Arabidopsis thaliana: one gene and its partner. The protein of the gene in region 1 interacts with the protein of each later gene in a pairwise test. Each region holds a gene or a part of one and is shown in the gene's direction. Other genes may lie near its edges.

Region 1 (5,482 bases):
ACAAAAATGTTATCTATCATCTTCAATCTCTCTTTCTCATTTATGTGCAAATCCAAAATATTGGAGTTGCTCTCATTCTAATTTTTTTGTCCGGTCTTATCATAATATAACAAATACAATTTTTTTTTTTGCGCATATGCCTTGATTTAAAATTAAAAAAAAAAACTCAAAAATAATCGAGAAATAGATTCAGATTCCATATGAGATCATATAGTTATTTTTTCTTATAAAAACATATAGTAAACTGTTGTTTTGTTTTATTTACCTACATAACATGTTTATTTTATTTTACCTGTATAACATGTCTAGGTAGATGTAACTTGAAGCTAAAACATTATTTGAAACTTAACTATCTCATTCTTGCACATAGTAAAAGTGACTAGCTTTTCCAACATATCTTGAGTTATGCAATTTCGAATCAGAATTATAGTATCATTAGAGCATCTCCAATAGTGAGAGCCCTCTATTGGGTTCTCACCATTTTTTTAAGAATAAAATTTTGAATTTGAAGAGATGAGAACTTATGTTATTTTTTTTAATTTTGTAAAGTCCAATGGTAATCTCTCTTTGTGGAGTTCTCAGGGAAAAAAATTCTATTGATTTTGAAATTGAAATGTTGAAATGTTTGATGTTGAAATTGTTGTAATAGTGTGAAAATTTCAGTTGATTTTGTTGTTAAACAACCAATTAGTGTAATAAAATCATGATATGGTCGGTCTCTAGGGAGAGATTAGTTGTCATCTTTGCATCTGATAATATCTGAGTTGAAATAATTTCCTCTGCCTCACAAAGAACTATCTCAAGATTTTAAACTTTGTTAAGATATGGCTGAAACATTGCAGAAAACAAACTGGAATATTGATACATGAATTCAAAGTCTCAAATTGAAAACCTGCAACTACTCAAAGTCTCAAATCATTGATAAGAAAAAACTGTAACTCATTAAACACTTGCAACTCATGAAACCTACAACTCAACCTCCATCTTCACTATCTTTCAGTTATTGGAAAGAAGGTAGTGCTGCTTCGTATTCTTAAACCAAACCTTGCAGAAACCTGCAATTTCTCAAACCAAAACATGCAAATTAGTTCACCAAAACCTGCAATCTATAACTCAAAAAATTAAAAGCTGCAATTTTTCAAACCAAACCTGCAACTTCTTCACACAAAGATAACCTGAAAACGAATAAGGCAAAAAACCATAAGTAGTTGAGATGAAAGTCTATGTGAAACTCTTCGACACTTCTGTAGCTGCAGTATTAAACAACAGAAGCATAGATTTTTATCACACTAATGACTAAACCATATAAAAGCAAGCTAATCACTCCTTAATCGCAGTCTATAACCAAAAAAAGCACAGCTTTATTACACAAATCCCTAATTTAGATAGAAGCTGACCTTTACATCTAGAGCATTAACATCGAGATGATCTGCGATTAAGAATCGGAACCGAGAAGATTAGTATACCAGATCCAAGAACTCGATTCACCTGAAAATTAGAGAGTTTCCAAGCAATGTAAGTCAAAACATCGACATGATTAGAAACAATGATCAAGATAGAATCAGGAGAAGCTTTCACGCTTTTTTTGCTTTTTTTGTTAAAAACAATTAACCAATGATAAGGCACCACATCATCGTCTCTCATCTCTCTCAAAAACTCTCTCAAAAGAGACAGCTCTCTCTCTCTTTTAATCCATTTTGATTTATTTTTCAACTCTTTTTTAAGAGAACCAATAATGAGAACTCCATTTTGCATCTATTGAGATACTTTTAAGTGCTCATTGTTTTACCATCCAAAATCATAATCAAGATACTGTGTAAATTTAATGAATTAGTAAAAAAAAAAACATTATTGTCTTTAAAAAGTTGCATTAAATAAGAATTATTTTTTGTTGTTTAAATAAAAAGCCTAAAGATTAAAAATATAATTAAGGTTTTAAAAAAAACAGAGACACGGAGCCTTAAAAGGGGCAGAGGAAGGTAAGTAATAATCCTTGTCAGATGCTATAATTACTTCCTCTGCCACCCACCTCTCTCTCTTCCTCTCTACTACTACACACTCATCTCTCTCTCTTTCTCTTTTTCTTTCTTCTTTGCATTGTTTTTCTCACTCACTCGCCGCTTCCTCTTCTCTTCTTCTGGTTCACTTCTCTCCTAAGTAATAACACCACTGCATGTTTCTCTCTTGAGACACTCCAAACCATTTCTCTCCGAAAATGTCTGCTCCTTCTGGCGGTGGCGAAGGAGGAGGAAAAGAATCAGCTGCTGGTGGAGTGAGTTCATCGTCTCTTGCTCCGTCGTCTCTACCACCGCCTCGTCCTAAGTCTCCACCAGAGTATCCAGATTTGTACGGGAAACGCAGAGAGGCGGCGAGAGTTCAGATGCTCGAGAGAGAGATTGGTTTTCTCGAGGCAAGTCTCTCTCTCTCAATACTTTTATTTTATTACTACTACTACTACTATTTTAAAAACAGTCCTTTTCATTCTTATTTTATTCATAAAATCTGTGCCATTTTTGATTACTCTGAGGAAGTGTCCCAATATTTTGAATTTCATCACTCCTTTGTTTTTATTATTATTACTCTCTCTTTTTCAAAAAAAATTGGTACTAGTATTAGTTTCTGATTAGTAAATTAATTAATGCTAATTAACCTCTCTTGTATAACTAAATAATCCAGTTGTAGTACTATTTGATTTTTGGTTGTTGTGAGAAAAGAGTGTTAAAACTTGGTCCCTACTATATCCAGGTTGGTTTGGACTCTGGACCGTTGTGTTATGTTTTGACAGCAATTATAGAAACCCAAGACATTTAATTTATATTTGTTCTCTTTGATGCTCCCAAAAAGAATTATTAATTTCTGTCATCAGACACATTTCTCTATTTCTATATCTAATTAAATTCAAACTAGTACTATGATATGCCAACAAGGGCTTTAACCACTTAAACTAATGCATGTTTTCTTAATTGAAAATTAATTTGAATCATTTCTCTTAGTAATTTTTTTGTTAGTTGAGGGAGTTTCAACGGATCTATTCTTTAAAAACTAAATTAATTGGGTTCCTATGCTTTTCGTTAATCAGGATTTTTTTTGGGTTATAGAATATTGTTAGTAGTTACATTCTGTTTTAAAATTAAGGATACATAAAAAAAAAAAAGTAAAAAAAATGTTAAAGGTAAAAAAAAAAAATGTGATCATGTTGTAGTGTGAAGTGACCGATGAGACGCCCATTTACTCAGTTGTTTGCATCACTGAGGCCTAATGTGTTCGTGCATGTGTACTATGAAAGTGAGTGCTTAGTCAAAGAGAGTATTAAAGGGAAAAATACATAAAGATAAAGAAGAAAAGCATTAGAAGCAAAGTAGGGAAAGATCTAAAAAATATATTGAATTTGGTTAGCTTCCATTGCTGATTTTGTTTTGTTTTGCTTTGCCATATCAATCAATTTTTGTGAAAGCTTTTGTCTTTATTGCTATCTGCGTTTGAAAGGACCAATTCTTGGTCACCTTTTTCCTCATGTTGCTTTCTCATTTCCCCCTCTATGATTACTTTTTCTATAGTGCATATAATTGGTTGTAATTAAATTATTTTTTACACTGTATATGTTTAGTTTAATATGCAATTCTTGTTTTGTCCCATTAGTGTCTACTTAATTTAGATCTTCTCTTTTTTTAACCAAGCAAATACAATTTGGTTGATTAATGAAATGATGTTTCTTAACCAATATTTCGAATGTCGTTATGATCAGGGCGAAATTAAATTCATCGAAGGCGTACAACCGGCATCTAGATGCATCAAAGAGTGAGTGTTTTAAAAACATTCTATCAGTTTTTATCAGTTTGGTTTATTGATAAAAGAAATATTTTGTTGTGGCAGAGTCTCTGATTTTGTTGTTGCAAATTCTGACCCATTGATCCCTGCGTAAGCGTATTTCTAGTTCACTCAATGACTTCACACTTTTCTCGTACTTTGCCCGCTCTTACAATTCCGTTGTGCTGTTTTTGTCTTCTCATATAAATAGACAACGAAAAAGTCGAAGATCCTTCCGGTTCTGGAAGTGGCTCTGGTAAGCATTTAAATTGGAACATTATATTTTGAAAATATTTTATTTTCGCAATTTTATATAAAATTTGCATAAGACCTCAACTAGTAAGAAATGTTTTTAGCCAATGCTTTTAATCTTAGATTTTGCTAGAATTACTGATATGTGTAGCTATCTGAATAAAGTGATACTAATTAATTAACTCAATGCAGTGGCCCATGTTTGAGCCTGGTGAGTTTCTGCTGTTGCTGCCAATCCAAATGTTCGTGCCATCTGAGGAAACCCAAGTGCTGCAACTGTACATCTTGCAGCTGTATAGGGTCCAAATGCTGTGACGGGTCATGCTGCTCAAACATTTGTTGTTGCCCGAGACTAAGCTGCCCGAGCTGTTCATGCTTCCGAGGTTGCTGGTGTTCTTGTCCGGACATGTCTTGCTGCATTCCCAGCTGTTTCCGCAGTTGCAGTTGCACTCGACCGTCGTGTCTGAATAAAAAGAAGAGCTCATGCTGCAGCTGCAACTGCAAGATCAGATGGTCATCTTGTTTTAGTTGTCCCAAGGTACGACTTTGTTCTTGTTGTTTTTGCAATTGTAAAAATCTATGTTCTAATCCTTGTTGTTTAGCTTTCTAATTAAACTTTATTATTATTATAATCATTATAGCTGTTTCCTCTATTTTTTGTTCAAATTTTTTCTTAATCTCTTAAAGGAAGCAACACTTTCTTGATTTTGTAATAAAATTGTGAATATTTTTGTCTTTTTGTAAGTGATGAATGATGATTACTATCAACTATCAAGCGAGTCTGTCATGGGATATGTTTTTTTTTTTTGGGTTTTAGCCGTGGGATACTAATGTAAAGTATGTACACAAACTATGTGTAAAAAACGAAGAAAAAAGATACAAAGCAATCACACAACTCTGATGTTCGACCGGCTCAATAATAGGGAAAAAAAATTAGTGGCCTATCTTAGTATACGAGTTATATATGGACCATAATCACGTGTAAATTTCTCATTTTAATTGTTTAAAACACACCAATTTTTTTATTTGTTAATTTGCAGCGGATCATGTGTAAAACCACACTTTGCACATTGACTAGTAATTACGGCTTTAGTTCGAACAATAGCTACCCGGTGAAAGAAATTTTAGCAGATGTGAAATGTGGTGAAATATGGATAGAAATATAAATATATAGAAATATAGAATAGTTGTTATTATGTCAAGAATTTACAATCCATTTCGCAGTTAAAAATTCAAAAAAAAAATCATATACAGGTAAATAAAACGAGACATGTTCCTAGTGTCAGCATACAGCTCAATTTTCAAACTTTTCGTAATTTTGTTTCTTTACGAAACTCCATTTTCTTCAATAGCTAAGGTAAAATGGATAAAGGCAAGAAATGACTACAATTTGGTAATTAATTATGGATCAACCTGTAATTAC
Region 2 (6,478 bases), on another chromosome or scaffold:
GGGCCCGCGTGTCGCCTCCTTGGGGTGCAGATTTCAACGAAGACAATGTCCTCGAGACCAACGGTCTCATTGGATCTATTGTTAGAAAAGAAGGGCATATATACTCGCTAGCCGCTTCTGGTGACCTTCTCTACACGGGCTCGGATTCGAAGAACATTAGGGTTTGGAAGAATTTGAAGGAACACGCTGGGTTTAAATCCAGTAGTGGGCTAATCAAGGCCATTGTGATATTCGGAGACCGAATCTTTACCGGCCATCAAGACGGGAAGATCCGGATTTGGAAGGTTTCGAAGAGAAAACCAGGAAAACATAAGCGGGTTGGAACATTGCCAACATTTAAATCAATGGTCAAGAGCTCCGTCAACCCTAAGCATTTCATGGAGGTACGCCGCAACAGAAACTCTGTGAAGACGAAGCATAACGACGCAGTGTCTAGTCTTAGCTTGGACGTGGAGCTTGGATTGTTGTACTCGAGTTCTTGGGACACGACAATCAAAGTGTGGAGAATCGCGGATTCAAAATGTTTGGAATCGATACATGCACACGATGACGCGATAAACTCTGTAATGTCCGGTTTTGATGACTTGGTGTTCACGGGATCCGCAGATGGTACTGTTAAAGTGTGGAAACGTGAGTTGCAAGGCAAAGGAACAAAACATACGTTAGCTCAAGTTTTGCTCAAGCAAGAAAATGCGGTCACGGCGTTGGCCGTAAAATCACAATCTTCCATCGTATATTGCGGTTCTTCGGACGGGCTAGTGAACTATTGGGAGCGTTCAAAGCGGTCATTCACAGGCGGAATACTCAAAGGCCACAAATCCGCAGTGCTTTGTCTAGGTATAGCGGGGAACTTGCTGTTGAGTGGTTCCGCCGACAAGAACATATGCGTATGGAGGCGGGACCCGTCTGACAAGTCCCATCAGTGTCTCTCTGTTTTGACGGGACACATGGGGCCGGTCAAGTGCCTAGCCGTGGAGGAGGAACGGGCTTGTCATCAGGGAGCAAAAGCCTCAGTGGCCGAGGGAGACCGGAAGTGGATTATATACAGCGGAAGTTTGGACAAGTCGGTGAAAGTGTGGCGCGTGTCGGAGAGAATGGCCACGTGGAAGGAGATGGACGAGCCAGCAGCATCTTCAGAGCGGAAGAGCTCTTCGTCTCCGCATGAAGGAAGTGGCGCGTGGAGTTCACGCAATGTGGAAAAATAAGAGTGGAGGAGCATAGTGTGATTATTTACGAGAGTGTCACGTCGTCACGAGAGCCATATTCACGCCGGGAAAGAGACAGAGGATTGATTTCATTTTTATGACTAAGTCAACGGAGAGGTTTGTGCCACGCTAGCTGGTGTGAGAATCAAAGTCGGGTTAATGGTTTTCACGTAATGAGTTTTTTGGTTATTTTTTTCTTTAAAAAAAATGTTTGAAACGAAATTGAATTATTTATTTATTTTCCATAAATTTGTAAGATAACAAGAACAAAGACCGAATCAAACATATATATTTGTTTTCTTTAGTGGTCTATGTCGTGGTTGCAACTTTATAACTTGGAATTTTGGATGAGTCGTTTTCCTCTTCATTAGAATTAGTCTTTCTATATTATTATAATATAGGATGTTGATATTTTTTAATTGATTTTCCAACCTGGAAATATCCACCCAAAGTTGTTAGAAATTACTAATCTTTGTGAATTTACTGTTACCATTTAAACCTAATCTATCTTTATGAGCAAAAAAAAAAAAGTCTTATTCAATCACTTAACCGAAAACATTTCCACAACCGGGATCATCATATATGTCTCTGCGCCTCTCTTTGATAAATACTTAAATAGGGTCAACACCTCCGGTTTTCTATTAACCGTGTAATTCGGGTTATGCGAACATTATTGCAGGACCGAAGATATATTTACGAAATTGCCCTCTCTCTTTGACTCCATCAACGCCTTTCGCAACGCATCGTTTTCAACTCCCCTAACCCGCGTTGACGGCAAGAATTTTCCCGGAAAATAACTCATTTTTCCTTTTGATTGCAGAGAAAATAAAAAACAAAGAGAAAGTCTTCCCCTTTTTTTGTCAAGTCCTCGTCTTTTACTAGTGTATACGATCCAACCCATCTTTCTGTCTTTCTTCTTTTTGTTTACTTCTTCTGCAAATTCCCTTTTCCCGGAAAATTTATTTGCTGATTTTTCTTCCTTCCATCGCCACTTTCCTGGAAAAAAAAACTAAATTTCGTCTCTTTCTTTAAGCTAAAGGAGCTTTCTGTGATCAATTTTTTCTATATTTCTGTAGTTGCGTTCTTATTTCACGCGCTTTGTGATTTGATTATTTAAGCCACTAATGGCTTAGGATCTGTATATTATCACTTCATGAATTCTCGTTTTCTCGGATAAGTTGTTAAGTTTCTAAATTAGGGAATTTTAGGAATTAGGGCTTTTTTGGGTTTGTATGTGTGCTTGATTGGGTAAGAAGATGGCTGCAGTTATAAGAAAGTTATTACCTTTCCCATCACCGAATCCTAAAAGGGATAATCGAGAAAGTGACGATGATGATGAAACAAGTAGTGGCTATCGAATCGAATATTCATTCGCCAGTGAGTATAAAGGTCCTCTTATTGCTAATGTGCCACGAGCTCTTCCCGTTGAAGTTGATCAGATTCCTACGGCTCTTCCCGTTTCCTTTTCTTCCTTGCGGAGTGGTATCTCTTACCCAGTGGCACCTCTCGTTATGACTAAGGATACCAAGAGACCACCTGATTCTGGAATAGAGAAGAAGAACGGTTTCGTTGACTCTGCAGCTGGTTCTAGTGTGGTTTTGATAGGGCGTGATGTTGTTTCTGGCTCATCATCATCATCATCATCAAAGAGGTTGGATGTACCAGAAGAAGTGAAAAGTCCTGCTGATTTTCGGTTATCACCATCATCACCATTGTCTGCATCAGCGAGAGAGGAGGATCACTTAGATGATGACAGAGTTTCGGATGTGGGACCTAGAGCAGTGAGATTCGTTGAACCTTTTCAGAGTAGTGAATGTGATGAGAGCTCCTATGTTTCTGATGGAGAAAGTATAGCTGCAACGCATAGAGCTGAAAGGAAAGGTAAAAGAGGATCGTGTTACCGGTGCCAGTTGGGGAACCGGTTTACTGAGAAGGAAGTCTGTATTGTCTGCGATGCCAAATACTGTTTCAACTGTGTGCGCAGAGCCATGGGTGCGATGCCCGAAGGAAGAAAGTGTCAAGCTTGCATTGGTTATAGGATTGATGAGTCCAAGAGAGCAAGTCTCGGAAAGTGTTCAAGAATGCTCAAGCGCCATCTCACGGATTCTGAACTTCGACAAGTCATGAATGCCGAGATCACCTGCAAGGCGAATCAATTGCCTTCACGACTTATCATTGTCAATGACAAGCCTTTAAGTGAAGATGAGCTTTACACGTTGCAGACATGTCCAAATCCACCCAAGAAGCTAAAACCCGGACACTATTGGTATGATAAGGTTGCTGGCTACTGGGGAAAGGTACAGTTTCTTATATATGTCTGCGTATCTATTATCGGGATTGTATTTTGAGTGCTCAGCTAAATCAGAGCCTCTATGTGTTTATTTAATCAGATAGGAGAGAAACCTAGTCAGATTATAAGTCCTAACAACAGCATAGGAGGATACATCAGTGAGAAAGTAAGCAATGGAGACACTGAAATTTATATTAATGGCCGGGAAATAACCAAGCCAGAGCTCACGATGCTCAAGGTTCTTTTGCTTTTCACCTTTGTTTTGGATAACAAATATGCTTAGTGTATGTGTCATTGTTCTGAACTGAGCGCTTCTTTGCTTTGATGTAGTGGGCGGGGGTGCAATGTGAAGGAAAACCTCATTTTTGGGTCGATTCAGATGGTTCTTACCGAGAAGAAGGTCAAAAGCATCCCATCGGGAACATCTGGAGTAAGGTATGGTTTCCTGATCACCAGCTTTTCTCGTTCACAACATTAAATATAAAACTAAAGACAACGAAGGATATTATTTTTACAGAAGAGAGCAAAAATTGCTTGCGCTGTGTTCTCTCTGCCAGTTCCTCCGGCTTCGTCTGCAGTAGAACCATATGATGTGCCCTTATATGAGCAGAAGATGCTTAACAAGCTTCTTTTGATTGGTAGCGAAAAAGGTGGCGCCACTACAATTTACAAACAAGTGAGCTATTCATCTTAATGCCTCCCACTTGAATGTTTCACATCTAGTAAAGAATCGGGAATTGACTTCTTCTGTTTCAGGCAAGGTCTCTCTACAACGTCTCATTCTCTTTAGAAGACCGTGAAAGAATCAAATTCATAATCCAAACAAATCTCTATACCTATCTGGCAATGGTTCTTGAGGCACATGAAAGATTTGAAAAAGAGATGAGCAATGACCAGTCTTCAGGTAATTATTATTGACTGTACAAACTATTAGAATAAGAATGCATTCATATTCTAATACAAACATCAGTTAACAATTGATTATTGAGGAAGACTGATCGAGTTCTTGGGATTTAGGCAATGTGGGAGATGAAACCAGTGCAAAACCAGGTAACTCGATCAACCCGAGACTAAAACATTTTTCAGATTGGGTTTTGAAAGAAAAGGAAGACGGAAACCTGAAGATATTTCCACCATCAAGCCGTGAGAATGCTCAAACCGTTGCAGATCTCTGGAGAGTACCAGCTATTCAAGCCACCTACAAAAGACTTCGCGATACACTTCCCAGGAACGCCGTTTATTTTCTTGAAAGAGTAAGTTTACATCAAGTTGCCTGCTTGCATATATAAACGCTCTTTCAGGACCTTAACACTTTTGTTTAAGGGGAAAAAGATGACTGACCCAAATTTGTTTCTTCTCAGATTCTTGAGATCTCGAGATCAGAATACGATCCTTCTGATATGGACATATTGCAAGCGGAAGGACTCTCCTCTATGGAAGGACTTTCTTGTGTGGACTTCTCATTCCCATCAACTTCTCAAGAAGAGTCTCTTGAGAGCGATTATCAACATGATACAGACATGAAGTTAGTTCTGTTCTTTTTCCTTGTGTTGCATTCCGGCTATATGAAAAACCGTTGAACTTACCCTCTCTCTCTCTCTCTCTCTCTCTCTCTCTCTCTCTCTCTCTTTAGGTACCAACTCATCCGGCTAAATCCGAGAAGCCTTGGTGAAAACTGGAAATTGCTGGAAATGTTTGAAGACGCTGACTTGGTGATATTTTGTGTCTCACTAACAGACTATGCAGAAAACATAGAAGACGGTGAGGGGAATATTGTGAACAAGATGCTTGCAACCAAACAGCTTTTCGAGAACATGGTGACTCACCCGAGCCTAGCTAACAAAAGGTTTCTTTTGGTTCTAACCAAATTTGATCTCCTAGAAGAAAAGATCGAAGAGGTTCCTCTAAGAACCTGTGAGTGGTTTGAAGACTTCAACCCATTGATCAGCCAGAACCAGACGAGCAGACACAACCCTCCAATGGCTCAGCGTGCTTTCCATTACATTGGATATAAGTTCAAGAGACTCTATGACTCAATCTTGGAACCCGTAAATATGCGTGGAAGGAGCTTTAAGCCAAAATTGTTTGTTTGTCAAGTGAGCTTGGAGAGTGATACTGTGGACAATGCACTGAGGTATGCGAGAGAGATTCTCAAGTGGCATGTTGAAGAAACTTCCATGTTCCAAGAGATGTCTACTACTAGCATAGAGGCCAGCTCGTCCTCTTGATATTTTTTCCTAAAATTCTTTCTTTCTTTGTGGAAATTACATAAGTTTGTTTCTCTCTCTGTGTGTATGTTTGTTGTATATGTAGTAGTGTGAAGATACATTCATGTGATTGATTTTTCAGGGGAAAAAAAATAGAGAAATAATAAAGTGAATTTTCCCGGTTTAACAGACATTTACTTATACGGTTATTGAGGTTGAACTGGACCGGAGTAGCAATAAATTATCGGTTCAGTTTGGGAGATCAAACCGTTTAAAAGAAAATAATTTGAAATGGCCACGCAGAATACGAGGGTCTGAGGATTGTACCTCCTTTCTCTGCAAAAACTTAAACGTTGATTTGACTCAAGCGTCAAGGTAAGGTACTCTCTCTTCATACAACATTTTAGCTTTACTTTTTCTCTTTACTCTTCTCTCTCTCTTTCTCTTTCTCTTTCTCTTTCACTCGTTCTCTCTCACTCACTCTCTTCACACACAGATCCAAGATGGCCTCTTCAATGGCTAGCAATGATTTCCAGCTCCCTCCACGTTTCTTCACTGTTTTCGTCTCCCATTTCAGCTCAGAGTTCATGGTAAGATTTTCTCTCGAGGTTTCTTCTTTCAGGTTTATCTGTTCATGAGCAAACGATTCTTGAACTGGGTAGATTCTCTTAGCCTAGTGGTTTCTTTGAACTATGTCTGATGGTTTTTATGAAACAAACACTGTGTTTATCTGCATTTAGCTTCCTCTATAGATTTTGCTTTTTCTGTTTCTAGGG

What was found.
Region 2: the proteins of AGG3 (region 1) and XLG2 come close enough for resonance energy transfer, tested with the Arabidopsis thaliana proteins (one study listed by BioGRID).

The regions. Positions count from the first base shown.
Region 1 is NC_003076.8:6,978,501-6,983,982, reverse strand, and holds AGG3 (guanine nucleotide-binding protein subunit gamma), read left to right. Parts: upstream 1-1,819; 5' UTR 1,820-2,215; coding exon 2,216-2,410; intron 2,411-2,577; exon of another isoform or gene 2,578-3,703; coding exon of another isoform or gene 3,704-3,745; coding exon 3,746-3,798; intron 3,799-3,873; coding exon 3,874-3,918; intron 3,919-4,018; coding exon 4,019-4,063; intron 4,064-4,251; coding exon 4,252-4,669; 3' UTR 4,670-4,826; downstream 4,827-5,482. UniProt on the Arabidopsis thaliana protein: Guanine nucleotide-binding proteins (G proteins) are involved as a modulator or transducer in various transmembrane signaling systems.
Region 2 is NC_003075.7:16,439,118-16,445,595, forward strand, and holds XLG2 (extra-large GTP-binding protein 2), read left to right. Parts: upstream 1-1,968; 5' UTR 1,969-2,461; coding exon 2,462-3,502; intron 3,503-3,595; coding exon 3,596-3,733; intron 3,734-3,825; coding exon 3,826-3,930; intron 3,931-4,012; coding exon 4,013-4,171; intron 4,172-4,251; coding exon 4,252-4,399; intron 4,400-4,512; coding exon 4,513-4,748; intron 4,749-4,856; coding exon 4,857-5,020; intron 5,021-5,128; coding exon 5,129-5,723; 3' UTR 5,724-5,889; downstream 5,890-6,478. Other genes in the region: AT4G34380 (Transducin/WD40 repeat-like superfamily protein), read left to right, coding at 1-1,205; AT4G34400 (AP2/B3-like transcriptional factor family protein), read left to right, coding at 6,206-6,292. UniProt on the Arabidopsis thaliana protein: Guanine nucleotide-binding proteins (G proteins) are involved as modulators or transducers in various transmembrane signaling systems. Binds GTP with specificity. Plays a role in the root morphogenesis by regulation of the cell proliferation.